Alligator mississippiensis: one gene and its partners. The main gene of each other region encodes a partner of the protein of the gene in region 2 in a complex. Links are inferred from orthologs where the notes say so. Each region holds a gene or a part of one and is shown on either strand. Other genes may lie near its edges. The genes, in order: TMEM30B, ATP8B1 and TMEM30A.

Evidence for each region.
Region 1: the proteins of ATP8B1 (region 2) and TMEM30B are in contact, whole or in part, in a cryo-EM structure (PDB 7VGH), measured with the Homo sapiens proteins. The link is inferred for Alligator mississippiensis from reciprocal best matches to the Homo sapiens genes ATP8B1 and TMEM30B. Residues at the interface, in NP_001361314.1 of Homo sapiens: Trp362, Val366, Ser369, Ser370, Trp371, Tyr372, Leu373, Tyr374, Asp375, Gly376, Phe418, Trp421, Asp422, Leu423, Tyr426, Asp431, Pro433, His939, Trp942, Arg946, Tyr968, Phe971, Asn972, Gly973, Ser975, Ala976, Gln977, Leu1003, Gln1005, Phe1049; in NP_001017970.1 of Homo sapiens: Gly9, Ala10, His11, Gln12, Pro13, Asn15, Phe18, Thr19, Gln20, Gln21, Arg22, Leu23, Pro24, Ala25, Trp26, Gln27, Pro28, Leu30, Ser31, Ala32, Ala35, Leu38, Phe39, Phe46, Leu49, Leu53, Tyr109, Tyr111, Asn116, Phe117.
Region 3: the proteins of ATP8B1 (region 2) and TMEM30A are in contact, whole or in part, in a cryo-EM structure (PDB 7VGI), measured with the Homo sapiens proteins. The link is inferred for Alligator mississippiensis from reciprocal best matches to the Homo sapiens genes ATP8B1 and TMEM30A. Residues at the interface, in NP_001361314.1 of Homo sapiens: Thr138, His359, Trp362, Glu363, Val366, Ser369, Ser370, Trp371, Tyr372, Leu373, Tyr374, Asp375, Gly376, Arg384, Ile388, Phe418, Asn420, Trp421, Asp422, Leu423, Tyr426, Lys430, Asp431, Thr432, Pro433, His939, Trp942, Arg946, Tyr968, Phe971; in NP_060717.1 of Homo sapiens: Lys24, Thr25, Arg26, Arg27, Pro28, Asn30, Phe33, Lys34, Gln35, Gln36, Arg37, Leu38, Pro39, Ala40, Trp41, Gln42, Pro43, Ile44, Leu45, Thr46, Ala47, Val50, Phe54, Ile57, Phe61, Ile64, Ile68, Ile75, Phe119, Tyr121.

Annotation. Positions count from the first base shown.
Region 1 is NC_081833.1:43,879,697-43,885,502, reverse strand, and holds TMEM30B (cell cycle control protein 50B), read left to right. Parts: upstream 1-3,902; 5' UTR 3,903-3,925; coding exon 3,926-4,966; 3' UTR 4,967-5,142; downstream 5,143-5,806. UniProt on the Homo sapiens protein: Accessory component of a P4-ATPase flippase complex which catalyzes the hydrolysis of ATP coupled to the transport of aminophospholipids from the outer to the inner leaflet of various membranes and ensures the maintenance of asymmetric distribution of phospholipids.
Region 2 is NC_081826.1:283,466,009-283,472,928, forward strand, and holds the start of ATP8B1 (phospholipid-transporting ATPase IC), read left to right. Parts: upstream 1-3,813; 5' UTR 3,814-3,934; intron 3,935-6,920. UniProt on the Homo sapiens protein: Catalytic component of a P4-ATPase flippase complex which catalyzes the hydrolysis of ATP coupled to the transport of phospholipids, in particular phosphatidylcholines (PC), from the outer to the inner leaflet of the plasma membrane.
Region 3 is NC_081824.1:65,532,739-65,539,673, reverse strand, and holds the start of TMEM30A (cell cycle control protein 50A), read left to right. Parts: upstream 1-3,908; 5' UTR 3,909-3,978; coding exon 3,979-4,227; intron 4,228-6,935. UniProt on the Homo sapiens protein: Accessory component of a P4-ATPase flippase complex which catalyzes the hydrolysis of ATP coupled to the transport of aminophospholipids from the outer to the inner leaflet of various membranes and ensures the maintenance of asymmetric distribution of phospholipids.

The DNA of each region.
Region 1 (5,806 bases), on a different chromosome or scaffold from region 2:
TTTGGCTTAATTACTTCACTTCTAGGTGCTTTTGTTTAAGCTCTTTGGAACAAGAACTGTTTCTCAATATGTGTTGAGATAGTACTAGGATAAAGGGGCCCAGCTTGGTTGGGGTCTCCAGGCATTACTGAAATATAAATAAAAACCTTATTTTGTCTTTCTACATTCATACTTCCATCTATTATTTCTCTTATTTCCATCCTTTTCTGTTCCTTTCTCCTTTTCTTCTTGTCTCTCATTTGTTTGATTTTTTCCATTACATACCTTCCTAGTCTGTTTAATTTTTTAAAATATAGTTAGAGCTTGTCTACTCATGGAGTTATTCTTCATTCACTATTCCTTATGTCCACACGTAGACACTCTTATTGAGTAACAACTCCTTCTCTAGGTAAGCAAGACCACTCTCTCTTCTCCCCTCAACCTTCTCACTTTTTCCTTTTTCTGTGCTTTTGTCTATTTCCTTATGGAGCCTCTCCTGGATTTTTCGTATCTTCTTTGCTGAGAAGGCACCACACCTGCCTTTCTAACTTCAGAATAAAGCAGGCATATAAGAAATCAAAGATACAGTTTGAAATACATGTGGACAAGAAGTTATATGAAAGCAACTAGTTGTTTTTGGTTTTATATTTAGATGTTTATACAGTGAAACCCATGTGTTCGGCACTTGTCTTTAGTCATATGGAATAAAAATCTTTTATTGCTTCAGTGTATTTCAATTGGATTTTCACCTTTTTGTGATACAAATACTCCTTTCTTTTTATTGAAATTGCACTCCATTATAACCAAGTTCTGCTGAATTTGTCTTCTTGGAATTTATCAATTAGCACCTACCTGCCATGGCTTATCACAGGAGGTAGAGAAGCATCCATCCTTCTGAAACACTTTCAGTGCATCTAATGGACAGTTTACAAGGATGAGATGTTGGTCTAAAGAAACAATGTTCTTTTTCTGGACATATCCTCTTTCATTATGACAGTTGTGTTAAACACATTTGGCTCCATGGGCTGGTTGAGTGGTACAGGGCTGGTCCATGGGCTGGATGCATGGTGTGGAGCTGGCTCTGCAGGCTGGATCAGGCCCAGTGACTCTCCCCCGCCACCCCATGCCAGAACCAGTGCATGCAGTATACCAGACTGGCTAGGGTGGGTACCATGTGCAAACTGGATGGAACAGGAACTGTGTGTGGTATGCATCTGAGGCCCTGTCTATGCGGCTGGTCTGGTGTGTGTCACATGCAGTGTTTGGGTCAACTCTGGACCTAGGAACAGAACTATGGGCCAGATGATCTGGCTTACAAGCTATATTTCTGACATGCCTGCATTATGGTAAAACCCTAGAGTGAGAAATTCAGTCCTGTACAAAGGGCAAGCTCAAAGGCCATTCAGTTTTGCCAATTTCTGCAGTTTTAAATTTTGCAATATATGGTTTGCTTGTTAATGCTCCAGCTCCTGAAACCAGGATATTGCATGACAGTGTCTGCTTTCAAGGAAAAACCATGCTTCAATTTTTCAGAGAAAAACACTACATTTCCAGTTCCTAGGATTGCAAAGAAAAAATGAAAAATGAAAATGAGGCCTTGAGACTCGGGAACCCGAGTCTCAAGAGCCAGAAGACAACTAGAAACAAAACAAAATCCCACACTTTATTATTTAAAAAAACTCAAGATTATTATTCCTTCTTCTGATTGTTTTGGGGTCTGATCTTTGAATGTTTGGAAGTGGCAATATTGCATATAAATGGTGTAAGTGAGGATGATGATAATAATACAATACCTACCCCTTAGCTATCATTCTATCAGCAGGTTTCAAAGCACTTTAGGAGGTTAATATCAGTATCTGCATATTACAGATGGGGAAACAGAGGCACATGGGAATGTAAATGGTTTGTCCATGGTCACCTAACAGACAAGGTCCAGGAACACAACCCAGATACAAGTCCCAGTCCAATCTGTACCTACTATGCCCACACTACCTCCCAGTTCTCATGCTATTTGCAAATAGATTAATTTCACACACAGTGACCCATAGATTAAGAAACTGAATTATTTATTTTTAAGACAATACTGTTATAAAGAATAAGCAGGTTTTTTTTTCTTTCCAGGTTAAGTCTTTGGATTCCAGCTTTCAGTTCACACAGAATTTGTTACAGTTAAGTTATAGCTCCTTAAATGTAAGAGGTTTGCAGCAAAATCACAGAAACTTAAGTACAAAACAGAGTTGTTTTAATACTAATATTACCTTTCAAACATTCTCCTTTGTTTTTAACTATTTTCTTTATTCACTAAAAAGAAGCTGTTGTGTAGGAGAGAGTAGGGAGAGGAGGTAGAATTTGTATTACTGTTCTGTTAGCTCAAAAATAACAGAAAATGATTACTGCTGTTTGTTGAAGCATGTCCTTGGAGATTCCTACTTTGTACTGTGAGATTAGCTGATAGAGGAAAACAAAAGGACTTACCCATTCCTGGAAATGACACACACAGTCCCCTTGTTTCTACATTGCACAGGAACTTTGCTAATTTATTAACAAAACAACTATGGATAAAGAAAAAAATCTTTAGAAATTGTGCAAGTGATTTTGTGCCCATTGATGCATGTTGGGTGACAAATTCTAGTGCTTCTCGCGGGATGTAAACACACTGGTTCTTAGTATATTCAGAATTGGCAAAGATGTATGAAAATGCAGCTAGCAGCATCTGTATTGCTGGAGTTTTTTTTCAAAATGGCTAAATAGATTGGCAGAGGACAATCAGTACCCCAAGTTAAGTCTTATTTTGAAAGTAGTTAGCTTACTTAGTAAGTGTCAAAGTGTAGCAGAGTTACTGTCCTGGCTGTGTGTTTCTTGTACACAACCCAGGGAGTCCCCAAAGGGAAGGAGTTTGTTGTAGGAGATAATGTGATTTTTTTTCTTGCTTCTCTTGTCTGCAGCATGGAATTTTTACAAAAAAAACTAGCACAGGTACAGATAGGGCCTAGGTTAAACGGCTCTGTGGCATCTTTATGTATCTAAGATTTAGTGTATAAGGTACATCTCTATTCTGTCTTCTCTCTGGCCTTGGTACAGTGCTGCTGGAGTCAGAAAACTATAGTGTTCTCACCGTTGTAAATGGTGGTGTCACAGCCTCTTGTAATAAATAATAGCCTGAGAAATACAGAGTAACTAGAAACAGCAACACTAGAAACAGGAACCAATAAGTAATCAAGAGATTTGGATTTTGTGTTTAATGAACATGTGCCTGTTGGGGATATGCTTCCTTGTGTTTGCCCCCCATGATCACACTGCAAAGGCATGTAAGAGGCACTTGGCAGCTGCCTAAGGACATGGTGACATGGTATAATTATGGAACCAGCCGAACAACAATTCAGAGCTGGTGAACGGATGGCATTTTAACTGTATTTTGTGAAGACTGAAGTCAAGAACATCATTGGACACACTTGGGAAAGAGACTGTCAGACTCTCTGAGGCACAGCCACTGCCACACTAGTGGACTTATGTCTGGCTGCTGGCGTACACACCTCCACATTACCCTCGTGCCACATCAGTGCCCACTGCTGCTTCACAATCAAATGGCTTGAGCACAGCCCGCCAGTGGCTGCGGTCGCACGGAGCCACCGGGTCACGCGTCCCTACGAGCATCTGGCGCTGGACAGGGGCGAGGCACGTGCAGCCCCAGCGCGGCTTCCCCGCCCCGGCTGCCTGGCACGAGGGGCCCCAAGTGCTGCGCTGCCGCTGGGACAGGGCTGCTCCGTTGTGCAGGTGTGAGCTTCCGCCCGCGGTCACAGCCCGGCCCTGGCCTCGCGGAAGCGCCTCCCAGACCGCAGGCCCCGACATGCCCGAGCCTGGAGCCGCCGGGTCTGGAGCGCAGGGGGAGGGCTCAGCTCGGCGGGGCGGGGCCAGGAGCACCTGCGGCCGCCGGGGCGGGGCGGCGATGGCGGCGGCGCGGCGGGAGCGGGGGCGGCCGGACCGCACGGCCTTCACGCAGCAGCGACTCCCGGCCTGGCAGCCGCTGCTGTCGGCGGGCATCGCGCTGCCGCTCTTCTTCACGCTGGGCCTGGCCGGGCTGGCCGTGGGGCTGGGGCTGCACTTCTCCTCGGGCACCATCCGCGAGCTGGAGCTGGACTACACGGGCGCCCTGGGCAGCAACCAGGACTGCGCCCGCTGCACCAATGCCAGCGCCACCTCCGGCCCGTGCCTCTGCACCCTGCACTTTGAACTGGCCGAGCCCTTCCCGGGGCCGGTGTGCCTGTACTACCAGCTGTCCAACTACTACCAGAACCACCGGCGCTACGGTGTGTCCCGCGACGACCTGCAGCTCAGCGGGGACCCCTGGGGGCTGCGGCACCCAGCCGAGGAGTGCTGGCCCTACCGGCGGGACCCGCGGGGCCAGGCCGTGGCCCCCTGCGGCGCCGTTGCCAACAGCCTCTTCAACGACACCTTCGCCCTCCACCGCCTGGTCAACGGGTCCTTCATGCCGGTGCCCCTGGACAGCCGGGGCATCTCCTGGTGGACCGACTCCAACGTCAAGTTCCGCAACCCGGAGCTGGTGAACGGCAGCCTGGCCACCGCCTTCTGGGGCACGTCCAAGCCCCCCAACTGGCCCTGTGCCGCCTACCTGCTGGATGCTGGCAACCCCAACAACACAGGCTTCGTCAACGAGGACTTCATCGTGTGGATGCGCACCGCCGCCCTGCCCACCTTCCGCAAGCTCTACCGCCGTGTCCACCAGGGCAACTTCTCCGCTGGCCTGCCCCGTGGAACCTACCGCCTCGACATCAATTACAGCTACCCTGTCCTCCCCTTCAAGGGCACCAAGAAGGTCATTCTCAGTACAGTCTCCTGGATGGGCGGCAAGAACCCCTTCCTGGGCATTGCCTACCTGGTCTTTGGCTCGGCTTGCATCCTCACTGGTTTTGTCATGCTGGCTGTGCATATCAAGTACCAACAGCAAAACCAGATGGATGAGGATTAGAGAAAGCTGGAGGTCCTAATGCTGCTGGGCATAGAAGTTGTGGGGAGGAATTAAATTGCAGCTAGTCACCATGCGTGGTATAATTCTGACCTCATGGGGAGTGCTCTGAAAAGAAGAACTAGGCCTTTTTTTGTTTTGTGACAGATTAAATTAAAATACTTTTTTTTCCCTAATAGAAAACCAAGAAACATCCAGACCTGGTTAGAATGGCTGAACTCGTGGTTCATAATGTGATAAGAGAATATTATGTGCCTAACAGGTTACTGTTGAGCTAAAACTCTTCTCTACTACCCACATTTCTAATGACCCAGACTTATTTCTTATGCCTGAAAGAACTTCATACAATGCTGTTCCTCGTTTACTGCTTTCTATTCTGAACTTCTGTGTTTCTTTAAACATTTTTTCGCTACAAGTGAAACTTAATATGTTGTTTTCATTGTTACATGAAAAGGAGTAGTCATGGGTTATTCATTTGCATAATTGCCTGGAGTTTGTGCTACAAACATCATAATAGCTTTTAAAATCTTCCAATTCCATTTACAAGTCTTCAAATTTTTTTAGGTCTCACTAGCCTTTATGGCTCTTAGCATATCAGTGCCTTCAAACCAATAAAAGCAATATTTAAATGAGTATGCATAGCAAGACCAAAGTGCTGACCTCCACATCAGTGTCATTTGAATCATACTTGAGATAAGTTGTTAGCTGTCTTGAATTACAATAATACTTTAGTTCCCTTAATTTTTGTAGAAATTTAGATAGGGAGTGTAAAATGATCTTAAACTGAAATGAAAATAAAACACCCTGAACTGGAGCTGTCCAAAAAGATAAACTTCAAAGGAG
Region 2 (6,920 bases):
AAAGTGGTAGGCACCAACAGTGCCCTGCCACAGATTTTAAAACAAAAATATCAGTGTGAAATATGAGCTTGTTCACAGTTCAACTAAAAAATTAATAATATTATAAAAATGACTGCAGTGACTGCACTTGATTTCTGTATGGTCTTACAACAAAGACACCACTTTGTCCACTTGAGAAGATGACCCAGACACTTGGCTCTTTCTCTATCCCACCAAAGCGTCCATGGAGGTATGTATAAGCTGCACCATTCATCTTTGTCACTGTTCCGGGCAGTGATGTATTATGGCAGATTATAATGAGTAGAGTAAATAGTCATAAGAATTAAGTTCATGTCCTCTCCCATTTAAGGTGTCTACACTGCCTGAGCAGGTTCAGGCTTGATATCAGGAAGCATTACTTTACGGTTAGGGCTGCCAGGCTCTGGAATGAGCTCCCAAGGGAGGTGGTGCTCTCACCTACTGGCGGTCTTCAAGAGGAAGTTGGATAGATATCTGGCTGGGGTATTATGATCCCAGCACTCTTTCCTGCCCAGAGCAAGGGGTCAGACTTCATGATCTGTTCAGGTCCCTTCCAACCCTAGAAACTATTAAACACCAGTGATTCCTGGTGTGCTGCAGGCAAAAGCAGCAGAAGTGTGCCATTTTTTCATATTTCTTTTTTTATTTATTTTAAGCATTTTAATATTTGTAATATTAACACACAATATTACATTTTCAAGTGAGAGTTAAAAAGTCAGGCTGCTTGAGTCTCTTCGGGCATGTCTACATGTTCCTGGCATGGTGCAATTACTGCACCGTGCGGGTGCTGCATGCTTAGATTTCCTTGCTATGTTGCCAAAACAATGTAGACCCATGTGATGGCTACATCTCTGTAGCACGCTGTATGGCAGCGTAGTGCATCGCTACATTGCCGTGGTATAACATGTAGACATGCTTCTTGAGTATTATTTTGATCCCTATTGAACTGAAGTAACTATTAAGATACAGCCATTCCTCCGTTGGGCTGAGAACTCACAACGCACATTTTTGAGTGTTTTGTGGAAAAAACACTAAGAACAGGACTTGACTTCCTGATATTCTACGTTGAAAAAACAGGTAGGAAAATATATTATTCTTTGAAAAAATAATCAGCTCATGCTCCTGTATCTAGCTGAAAGAAGCAAAACTCCTCTGCATTTCCAGGCCACCTTTAAGGTTCAATTTGCTAGCACCAGTAACAGAGGCTAATAACGAGGTCCCCAAAGTAAAACAGTGTATTCCAAGTGCCCTCCATAGGCTGCTTTTGGCCCAAACCATTTGAAAACATTGCATTTCCAAGGGGAAAGGACACAATTTTCCCTGACCCAACACAGGTTTGGGCCCACTACGACACAGAGGTGACCCTTGGTTCATGTTTCATGCCAGAGCAGAATTGAACAAGCTTGAAAAAAACTCTTCACTTCTTTCAGGAGACAAGGATTTCTGTGGGCAATATCTTTTACTGGACCAATTGCAGAGCTGGGTTAGAGATAGACAAGCTTTCAAACACAAGACATTCTTCAAGTCACTTCTTTCCTCATGGGTTATGAAAGAGGCATGGGTTTCTTAAGGTGATATCCTCTTTTGGGATCAAGTTAGACAAGCTTTCAAATGTAAGGCATTCTGTCATGAGCCAGGCCCAGCATAGTAAAGAAAAGTAGTGGGAGGGGGTGAGAGAAATTCCCAGGGGTAGCAGACTCACAATTAACAGAAGAAAAGAAGCTGATTCCTGGAAGATCAAGATCAATTAAAAGGGAGGAGGGTCATTCTTACCTTTCAGGTGTGGGGAAAAAAAAATCAGGAGTCAGGTAAAATATAATGTGCCATAAAACTTGGGAACAAAAGTTACATTTTTGTTCCCAAGTTAGCCTTTAAAAGGGTGTTAGATTTCCCTTGAGCAGGAGCATAGTGAGAGCAGAGAGGGATTGGTTATTCTGTGAGAAATGGGCTCCTAATTGTGTGCATCTGCTCTTTATCATACAAAAAACTAGAACTCTTGGTTCCAAAATGATATCTTTTATTAGACCAACTGGAAAATGGCAAGAAAATTGTCCTTTTCTGCGAGCTTTCGGGATCAAAGTCCCTTCGTCAGGCTCTGGGAAAAGTGTAGATGGTACAAGATGGTAAAAAGTCCCCATAGGTAGGAAATAAACTTCATTTTTGCACTTTCTGCCCTTTATCTATTTTCTGTAAGCCCTCGTTCTGTGCCGTTTCGCAGTGTAGTTTAGCAGAGTAGTTCCCCCATGTAGCTGCCCTGTGGTCACTAGATCAGGCATACCGCAGTTCAGGACAGGCATGCATGGGCAGATTTGAAACTAGGGGTGCAGATGGTGTGATGCATCATCACATACAGAACAACACACACTTTTCTCCAGTTGAAAAGAAACTAGAAGCTTTCATGCTAGGGGCCTGGGTCTGTATTATTCAGTTTAAGATTGAAGGAAAAAACTAATATAACCTAATTGGAAGGAGTAGAAAACCTGCAGGACTGGGAAACAGGAACTCCATTCCCAGGAGCAGTGCGTGGCGAGAAGGAAGCTGGCTGGACCAGGTAAACCTCAAGCCCATTACACAGAAGAGAACAGGGTTGCTAACACCTGTGGAATGAGGAGTCTAGAAGGAAGCCGATAGATAATAATGAGCCCTGAAGTCAAGTGACTTCCCCAGCACTGCCCGACTAGAAATGCTGCTGCTGCTTCCAAGCAGCTGGTTTTAAACTGTGGGTAGAGCATGAATCAAAGGAGGGGGTGCGAGCTGGGTTTGAATTACGTGGGGAACTCGGGGGGCTGAGCCCCCTCATAACAGACAAAAGCCGCCTTGCAAGATTTGAAAATCATAGCTGGGGGGGGTCTCCTATTGTATTGCTCCTTCACTTCATTCCAGGGGATTTAATTATAGCATAGTGATGGGCAGCCCAACTTTTTTGGCAGACCCCCCCAAGAATCAAAGCGCAACTGAACCCTGGGTGTGAGTACATGCACCCCGGCTGTCCCTGGAGGAGGGGGGGGGGGTGTGAATCAGGGTGACTGCCTTGGGCCCCACGCTTTGGGGGGGCCCTGTGAACAGTGACATACAGGTCTCACTGTGGTTGCTGTGCACCGTTGGCGCCACGCTCCAGCTGCTTGCTCCCCCGCCTCACCATGCTCCAGCTGCTCGCCTCCCTTCCCCGCTACACTTGCTACCCCCTGGCCCTGCACGGCCTGATATGCCCTGGGCCCCACACACCCCTGGGGATGGCTCTGACCCCTGGATCTGCCCAAGGTGCTGCTAGTCGAGGCCGCAAGGCCCGCAACCTTGACCAAGCAGCAGTCTGTTTTGTTCTGCCCTGGCGACGAGCCCGCAGAAGGACAAGGAAAGGGCTCGCATCCCCACCCGCGGACACCTCCAGCCCGAGGAACCGGGCCCCGCCAACTCTGAATCTATTCACACGCCATAATGACGCTGATATGATGCCTTTACATCAAATGCACGGGACTAGCACATTATTTTTTTAAGCAAAAAAACCCCACTGGACTACTGCATACGTCGGGTGAAACACTGATTCTTGATTTTCTCCCGGGTGACTCTCAGCAGTCTCCTTGGAGCTTGATATCCGATGCCTGGAGCCTCCCGGGCCGTGCTGCGGGGCTGGGGAAGCACCGCCACGGCTCTGCCTCCTGTCCCGTCCCGTGCTGTGCTGGAGGCGGAGGCGAGCGGGGAGTCCCCGCTACCTGGCGTCACGCGGGCGGGCGGGCGGGCGAGGGGCGGCGCTGCGGGCGGGCGGAGCGGAGCGGAGCGGAGCACACCTGGCGCGGGGCAGCGCCGCCGACCTGGGAACTCGTCGGGCCGGTCCCAGCCATGCGGCCGCGCCGCTGCCCCTGAGCGCGGCCCAGCCCCGCCGCGGGGAGCCGAGCCGAGCCGAGCCGAGCCGGGCCAGGTGAGGGCAGCGCGGGCAGCGCACCTGTGGGCCGGGGCGGGAGGCACCTTGCAGCCTGAGCAGCAGCAGCTCCCCTGCGCCTCCCCGGGGGAGACGAGCCTCAGCTCCCGGACAAGGCTGGTGGGCGCAGCGCGGTCTCGGTTTTGGACCAAGGCACAGAGCTGGACACGTTCCTCTCTGCAAGCTGTCGGGCACAAGCCCCCTTGGCCAGGCCGAGCAAGCGCCTGCCCACGGTCTGCGCTCTTCCTGGGTGGCCGGGAGAGCAGCCCAGCGCCCAGGGGAGAGAGCTGCTCAGTGCACATGGAAACGCGTGTGTGCTGCCTCTGGCTCGCGCTCTGCTTTGGTTAGTCTCTAAGGTGCGAATCCGCCACATCTGGAATGCGCCCGGCGCAAGGCTGTGGGCCCCACAGCTCATGGCGACGGGGGTCGGGCTGCGTGTGCCCTTCACCTCGCTCCTTTGGGCTAGCGAGGCTCGGGCGCGTGTGAGCGCCAAGGCTTCCGGGCCGGGGCTTGCGCCTAGGAAGCCTGCCCTGGGTTTGGGAGTAGCTGCAGCCCCAGGCTGAAGAGTCTGGGGGGAGGATGCTTGCCCCTGGTAGCGCCACACAGAGCTGAATGATTGAGGGCTCTCCATAGATAGACTTCGGTGCTGACTTGGCCCCGGACATGACATTTAAAAAAAAAACACCCAAAAAAACTACCCTGTCTCCTGCTAGACTTCATACTAAGGCAGCTAACCATGTCCCTTACCGATGGAGCTTCTTCCATGTACCAAGCTAAACATCTCGCACTCCTCCCGGGCCCCCAGTGTAAGAGGTATTTGCTAGTTTCCTCATTGTGCTCTCAGCGATACTTGCCTGTTAAAATGCCCAGTGATTCATTTTCAGAATGACTGCGCTGTAAGGTAAACATTAACTTGCTCAAAAAGCATGTTGCACCCATCTCTTGACAAAGCTGTTGTAGGGAATAGGCAAGGGGAGGATTGCCAAGTGTTTTTTTTTATTATTATTATTTTTAAATCCTCATCTTTCTCAAAATAATAGAGAGGATCTGAGTTGGAGAAAGGCAGATGGGAATTCATTCACTTGTTTGCCTTCTAGCACTAATGGCAAGATCTGGAAATTACTCTCAGTGCCTTGTGGTGCACAGATTTATGTTTACCTGAAGCCTTAATATTTGTCTGCGGTCCGCATATCAACAGTTCTTGGAGGGACTAGGTGGGCACCTACATTTGATTGTGCAACATCAAATGGCATGGTTTAATCTTAAAACAAAACAGCACAACACTTTTATTTTGACTGGTAAAATACACTGTAATTCTGATCAGAGAGTAGTTCATGAGTCGGACCAGGCACAATGTTCTTTAATATGACAAGGAAAAAAGCTCTTGTAACAGCAGAAATTTCCATCTCTCCAGTAATAAAAAAGCAATGACTTAACAGAAGGCAGCAGCTCTAGAGCATATAGATCTTAACTATACAGAGAGGGGACTGGTCCCTTTTCTTTCTCTACAGGGAATCATGAATATTTTGAGTTAATGCTTAAATTATGCTTAAATTATTTTGTTCAATATAAAGCTTTCCTTTTTTTTTCATAACAAAAATGTGCAGGAAAAATTTCTGACTGTCATACCTTTCAAAAATAGCCACTGCAGAAAGACGTATAAAAGCACTTTTGTTTTCAGTCTGATTCAAGAAATATTTTGTCTTTTGCCTCTACTCAGAAATGTAGTATGGTTAATTATTTTTTGCTCTATAGTTTTTGTTAGTAGTATATTTGAGCAGTGACTATGTAGCGGCATACTGTACATGCACAGAGGTGCTACATTAAAGAACTTACAATATAAGTATTGTAGAAATGGAAATTGAGCACTAATTCATAGCGCTGCTCAGTATATTTTAGGAATATTTGCTAACAAGTTGGTGCATATTGCTTGTCTGTTCTGGTGATCAAAGGAATGGAAAATAAGCCACAACTTAGATTAAGGCTGTGTGAATAATTGCTTAGCATTTACTTACCTGTTTGTTTAGTGGCTGAACTAGAAAATGGGAATGGATTTTTGTTTTGAATCAGCATGAAATGAAAATATTTCATTTTTATTTGGTGAACTGAAATTGCTCATTCTTGCTTAGGTGAAATATTTCCATTGACCCTAAACATTGACATTTTTTGTGTGTCTGGGAAAAAAAAAATAAAGGAGTTGACGAGGAAAAGGGAGGTAGTGGTTACTGGTTATGGTCTTGCTGTGCCTTTCTTAACCCAGTGGTTAGGACACCCACCTAGTTCAAGCCCCTCTGTATGTGATTCAGAACAGAGATTTTAAGTGAAAAACTCCTAGCTTTCCAGTTGATGTCATTATACTTATTATTAACATACTTATTCATTGGATCAGGGACTGGAAAACCAGGTGTTCACCTTGCCAGGTGAATAACTTATCCATCAGGCCAGAGAGTTCAGTGGCCTGAGGAATATTCAAGTATATAGTATAGAGGGGAATGGCTTCAACAGGAAAAACTGGAGAAACCCACCCCAGAATACCCTGAAACTTCATGGCTACTGTGCAGTATTCTTTTGGGAGGTAAGAGGCTTCAGTTCAAATCCCTGCTCTGAATCAGGCCAAAAGGAGCTTTTAATTCACATCTTCCATAACCAAGTGTCCAAACACTGATCTGGAGTTACTGAAGGCCCCTCTAGCATCATCTCTCTCTCTCTCTCTTTCTCTCTCTCCTGTATGAATGGGGGACCTCTCTCTTTCATTAATTTAATCTTAAAATCAGAATAGTTTGTTTCAGACGTATCAAAGTGAACTGCATCAACAATTCCAAAATAATTTTTATTCATCCATATCTATGTGGTGAATTTGACTTGAGTTTTATGTAGTTTGGAGTCTACCTGAAACTGGATTTATTTATTTATTTTTTAGAGAATGTTTGTCAAGGTTTAACCCTGCTCCTGATATCTGATAAATATGGTTAATCCACAAATTGCA
Region 3 (6,935 bases), on a different chromosome or scaffold from region 2:
ATTTTAATACCACAATTTATATTCTGCACCACATTTCACACCAACAGAATGGTAGGATATGCTGCTACCTATATAGCGTGTATCTTTCTGACAGCATTTTTAAGCTATTTTATGCGACTGTTTGCTTCCATGAAATTCTAATATTTGTTTGTTTTGTATAAACTTTATATGAAGTGAATTCATTTTAAGTGGGTATAAAGTGTCATGATATGGCAGCCTGTAAGGAAAAGACGAAAATGCCAGTTACAGCATCTAGAATGGATACAATCAATTTCATTTTTCTTATGAAGAATGAACCCTGCTAGGTTTTGGCTGTACTGGAAAAAGCTTTCTTGTTTAGTTGTTTTGCTAAACCCTCACAGTGATGCTGTAGCTTACATAATAGAAGATATTGAAAGCGTGTTCCACAGCCTTCTGACCTTATTTGTGAATGAATCACCACCTAGATTAAAAATGGCTTTAATCTAATCTGTAATGAAACTGGCAGTTATCTCAGTGAACACAGCAACCCTATCACAATGTTTTTTCTGGTTTTAACACTGCTTTTAACTTCCTGTTGTGCTGTCTGAAAGCCTCAGCTGATATAGAAAGTGTATTTTACTTGTTGAAATTTAACAGCATTCTGATATATTTTGCTTATGGCAAAAAATATTGTGCTTGCTGTAAGAACTTCCCCTAACCCCTACCAAAGACACAATTTGTAGAACTTTAAACAGTTAAAGTATTTTTGTTTTTTGTTTTTGTTTTTATCAGAAATGCAGCTAGGATTTATTTTCATGTATTTACTTTTTAAAATATTTTGAATGGAACTGTAGTATCCATATAATTGGGAGACATATTTCACTGGCTGTAACCTAAATGCAATAAAATGTATGTTGTTGAGGTTTTCCATACACGTTAAGCTTGTAATATTTGACTGGCACGCAGATGTATAGTATATTTTGTAAGATAACAAATGCCATCTGCTCGAAATGTATCCCATTTCAGATGACAAGTGAATTTTACCCTGTGAATTAAAGTTGCTGCCTAAATCTTTAAAATAGTCTCATCCATATTTGAATATTGAGGGCCTGAATGCATTACATGTTCACACTAGAGGAAACTGTTTTTGTACTAGTATAAACCCTTAACAATGTAAAACATGTTAGAATCTAGTGTAGTTACCCTGGAGAAAAATGGTAGTAAAAATACATACAGGTGGAGGTGTTGTGTTTGCAGTTATCTTAGGTAGTCATTCAATCATTGCAAACAGCTTATTATATGTGCCTCATCAATTAGTGTTGAGGTGCTTTAAAAGTGTTTACTGCAGTGGCTGCTTCAGGATCCTTGCCTGTCTGCTCTGGATTCCAGTGTAATTTACAATACTGTAAAAACCGATACACATCAAACTGGTAGTATCTTGGCCCTCTATTCAAAATATAAAAATTAAATATAGTAGCTATGTAATTACCTTCTGCTTTTGAGTACTTTGGGAGAAAGAATAGTGACAGATGGAACTAGAGACCATTCTGGCCTTGACACCTGGAAAGATCATGGAACAGGCCCTCAAGGAATTTATTTTGAAGCACCTAGAGAAGAACAAGGTGATCAGAAACTGCCAGAATTGATTCACTAAAAGCAAGTTGTGTCAGACCAACCAGATTTGCATCTATGATAGGGTGACAAGTTCTATGGAAGTGGAAAGCAGTAGATGTGATATACCTTGACCTGTGACCTGGTCTGCCACAGCATTCTCATTAACAAACCAAACTGAGGAAATACAGACAAGATGAAAGCACTGTAATGTGGATATATAACTAGTTGCATCGTGTTCAATGAACAGTCATCAATGACTCAATATCTCGTTTGGAGGAGGTATCAAGTGGGGTTCCTTGGGAATCTGTCCTGGCTCGGGTATTGTTGAACATTTTCTTAATGATTTGGATGAAAGAATTGAATATATACTTAGAAATTTGCAGATGACACTAAGTTGAGTGAAGTTGAAGACATTCTGTAGGGTAGTGCCAGAATCTAGAATGACCTGGAAAACGTGGAGAAAATGCCCACAATCAATCAGCTGAAATTCAATAAGGACAAATGCAAAGTGGTGCACTTAGGATGGAATAACTGCATGACAAATACAGACTGAGGAATGACTTGCTAGGTTGCAGAACTGAAGAGGACCTGGGGTTACAACAGATCATAAACTAAGTATAAGGGAACAGGGTGCTTTTGTTGCAAAAGAGCCAAAAGCAGGCTGATTTGTTTTAACAGGGTTGTCACTTGCAAATCAAGAGAAGTAATCCTTCCAGTGAGTCTCTCCACTTTTGGACCCTGCACTTCAAGAAAGATGTAGTAGACAGACTGGAGAGAGTTCAGTGGAGAGCTACAAAAAAAGATTAGAGGCCTGGAAAGGATGACTTACACGGGATGGCTGACAGAGCTAGGATAATTTACTCTGGAAAAGAAAGTCTCTGATAGTCTTTAAATACTTAAAGGATCATTATAGAGAGAACAGAGAAAAATAATTCTCTGTGGCTATGTGGGACAGGACTTGGAGCAAGGAGTTCAACATTCAGCAGAGGAAATTCAGGTTGGATATTAGGAAGAACTTTCTGTTTATAAGGGTGGTCAAGCACAGGAACAGAAGTTATGGACTCTCCATCCCTGGAAATTTTCAAAAGCAGTTTAGACAGATACTTGGCTGAGATGGTTTAGTCAGGGATGATCCCACCTTGAACAGGGGACTAGACTAGATGACCTTTTGAGGTCCTTTCCAGCCCTACTTTCCTATGATCCTAAGTTATACTAGAAATATTCTTTTCATACAAATACACTTGTTAAAGAAAATAATCAGTCTTCCATTTTACACCTCGGAAGCAGAGAGTATGCTGAACTCTCCCTTTCCTTTGTGTGCTTACTGGCATAATTGCAAACAAGTAAATAGTCTACAGAAACACTATCCCCATGATACTTATAGTAATTAAATTCAACCTCATCCACTTCAGTATCTTACTTAGGCACATATAATGCTACTGGGAAGGCAGGAAGAAGGGCCTGTTTGCTGTCTCACTTCTTTCCTCATCCCCCAAAATTACATTGGGTCTGTTTTAAAGCATCAGACCAAGGAGAAAAACAAATCACTCAGGTCCACTGAAGACCCAGGAACCAGGTGGGGGGAGGATTTACCCCCTTCTGCCCTTCACTTTGGGTGAAGTTACACATTATACACAGAACATACTAAATCTGTGGAATATTAAATGGTGTTAAAGCTACAACGTGCTGTGAGCAATCGCACATAAAGTAGGGTTACCGTATTTCCAATTCCAAAACAGAGGACACCTGTGGGGGGGGGGACCTCACTCCCCACCCGCAGACCCCTGGCCCAGATGGTGGCCCTCACTCCCCACCCAATCCCTCACCTCCCCAGGCTATGCTGGTGCCCCTCACTCCCAACACGCATCCCCCTGGCCCTGCCAGGGCCCCTCCTGACCCGCAGACCATCCCAACCGGGCCAGCGTGCGGCAGCTCCGGTTTTTGCGGGTGCTCGTGGAGCGAGTAGGAGGGAAAAGGGGAGGCCTGTGGCATCCCGCCCCACGCCCTGGGCTGGGGCTCCCACGTCATGGCGGGCGGCCCCTGGCAACATCTCCCGGCCAGCGCCCCACGATCAAGGGCACTAGCCCAGCTCCCCCGCTGCTCTCTAGAGAGACCGGGCCTGCAGAACGCTAGCAGAGCAACTATGCATGCGCCACCCCAGCTGCGGGGCCGCGTCTCACCCACCGGACTGCGCATGCGTAATACTCCTCCCTCTCGCGCTCTGACTTTCCCCTGACACGGCGCGTCATCAGCGCGCGCCCCAGCTTCTCCCCTTTTGCGCAGGACGGCGCGAGGCCCGATCACGTGGCGACGGCGGGCGGTGACGTTGTTGTGTCGTTGCAGCCCCTCCCCCCCTCCCCGGCGCGAGCGGCGGAGGCGGCGGCGGCCCCCCGAGCCCCCGCCATGGCGGTGAATTACAGCGCGAAGGAGGATGCGGATGGGCACCCGTCGGGCGGGCTGGGCGCGACGGGGGGCGGCGCGGCCAAGACGCGGAAGCCGGACAACACGGCGTTCAAGCAGCAGCGCCTGCCGGCCTGGCAGCCCATCCTGACGGCGGGTACCGTGCTGCCCGCCTTCTTCGTCATCGGCCTCGTCTTCATCCCCATCGGCATCGGCATCTTTGTCACCTCCAACAACATCCGCGAGTACGAGGTGCGCTGTGGGGCTGGGCTGGGTGCGTCCCCGGCCGGGCTGCCTTGTCCCTGCAGGCGGCTCCGGAGTGCACCCGGGGGAAGCCGCCGCGGCCCGGCCCGGCCCGGCCCGGCCCGGTCCGGTCCTGCCTGCAGTGTGGCCGCCGGTTTGAGCCTCCCTACAGGGAGGTGCGGCCCAGGTGGAGACAATCCTCGGGGTGGGAGGGGCAACGAAATGGTTTGGGGCCCGGGGCGCAGGGCTGGTGAGCAGAGGCTGAAGGACTTGGGCTTGTTCAGCTGTCTGGAAAAGACGGGAGTAAGAGGGGATTTGATAGTAGCCTTCAGCTACCTGAAGTGGGATTTGAAAGAGGATGGAGCTGGACTGTTCTCAGTGGTGGCAGATAACAGAATAAGGAGCAGTGGTTTCAAGTTGCAGGAAGGGAAGCTTAGGTTGGATATTAGGAAAAACTGTCTCACAAGGAGGGTAGTAAAGCACTGGAACAGGTTACCCAGAGAGGTGGTGGAAGCTCCATCCTTGGAGGTTTTTAAGACCCAGCTAGACAAAGCCTTGGCTGGGATGATCTAGTTGGGGCTGGTCCTGCTTTGAGCAGAGGGTTGGACCCAGTGGTTCTCAGCCTTTTTTTGTACCAGGACATATTTGTAACCATAGGTGGCAAGTCCTGACCCAGTGCCCCTCACTCCTGACCTGCTGCCCCCCACTCCCAGGCCCCCAGTGTGCGAGGCAGGGAGGCCCCAAGCAGCCCCTCACAGGCTGCAGCTCTGGCAGCCTGCAAGAGGGAAACCACAGCTTCCTCCATTTTTCTCTATTTTGAAAGTTTGCTCACAACCCTTTCGTATATTCTTGCGACCCACTATTGGGTTGCAACCTACAGGTTGAGAAGCGCTGGACTAGGTGACCTCCTGAGGTTCATGGATTCATAGATTGGAAGGGACCTCAGAAGATCATCGAGCCCAGCTCCCTGCACCAAGCAAGAAAGACAACCGGGGTCAAGTGACCCCAGCAAGGTGACTGTCCAGTCTCCTCTTGAAGATCTCCAGGGAAGGTGATTGCGCCACCTCTGGAGGGAGCTTATTCCATGTTCTGGACACCTTGGCTGTGAAGAAGTTTTTCCTAATTTTGAGCCTGAAACAGCCTTTCAGGAGTTTGTGACCATTGCTCCTGGTTTTCCCCAAGGGTGCCCTGCTGAACAGTTGTTCACTAAGCCTTTGATGTATGCCCCTGATGTAGCAGTAAGCTGCTACCAAGTCCCCTCTCAGCCTTCTCTTTTTTAGGCTGAAGACACCCAAGTCCCTCAGCCTTACCAGAGATTTGCATGGCAAGCCATATGAGGTCATACGGGTGGCCCTTCTCTGGACTCTCTCAAGCTTTTCCATGTCCTTGTTGAAGTGCGGTGCCCAGAACTGGATGCAGTACTCCAGCTGCGGTCTCACCAATGCTGAGTAGAGCTGAAGAATCACTTCTTTGGTTTTTCTGGAGATGTATCGATTGATGCACGCCAGAGTATTATTTGCCCTGGTGACTACAGAATTGTATTGCCGGCTCCTGTTCATACTGTGGTCAGTTATTACCCCCAGCTCTCTTCCATTCATAGTGCTGGTCAGATTGGCATTGCCAAGCCTGTAGGTGTGCAGGGGATTGTTCGTCCCCAGGTGAAGCACTTTACATTGCCCAATGTTAAACCTCATCTGGTTCTGATCCGCCCAACTTGCCAGCCTGTCTAGGTCCACATGTATCTGCAGCCTATCTTCAGGCATGATCGCGCTTCCCCATAACTTGGTGTCATCTGTGAACTTGGCCAGGTCCCTTCCAACCTTAATTTTCTATATCGCCCTTGTAGCACAGTCAGTACCCCACAGACACACTTCACTATTGAAGACTTTTAAGCAGCTTGATCTAGCCTGACCATCCTCCAGATACTGGTAAGGCCCATCACCCATATCTCAGTGCCAGGATGTGGTCCTCAATAGGGTTTTTGGAGGGTTTTTTTTAGCCAGGGATCTGCAAGTTGATTTATGGGGTAACTATAATACTAGGGGAACTTTGAAAGTGGAGAAGATGCTTGTTGTTTTAACATGTTGATTTAGACCACGTGCCTACGTACAAGAAGTTCAGTGCTAGCATGTGTATACACATATGCTTTGTCAAGCTGCTACCTAAATGCAGTACAGTTAATGTTTCTGTGTTTCATACCGTGGATGTCCTGACAGGCTACAAACAAGCTTGGAATAATGCACCAACGGTCTACTCGCATCAGGGGACATCTTGCAGTGATACTGTCTGTAATGCTGAAGTATACTAGGGAGGGCCCTTGGTGGTGCTTGTGTATACAGCTGGCAAGTAGCCAAAATGTTATCTTCATTTTAAACCTTTACACTGAGTTTAACAATTCTAAGTAGTAGAGGTGCACTGATACATCGGTCCATATCGTATCGTTACCAATAAAAGGAAAATTGAAATTATTGGTAATCGGCTTTTTTTGGCTGCTGTGGCCAATAATGTCACTTATAAATCTGTGCGTGCGCATAGCCACAGCATGCATGCAGCCACTGGGGGACTTGGGCGGAGGGAGTGGCTTCTGCTGCTCCATGCACCTGCAGGGTGAGGCATGTGGAGCACTTGCCCCCCAGATCTGTGAGTGAGGCAAGAGCAGGCTGCCACTGTGTGCTGGGGCTGGGGGTGGCACCAGGCTCTTTCTGGTGGGGGGGACT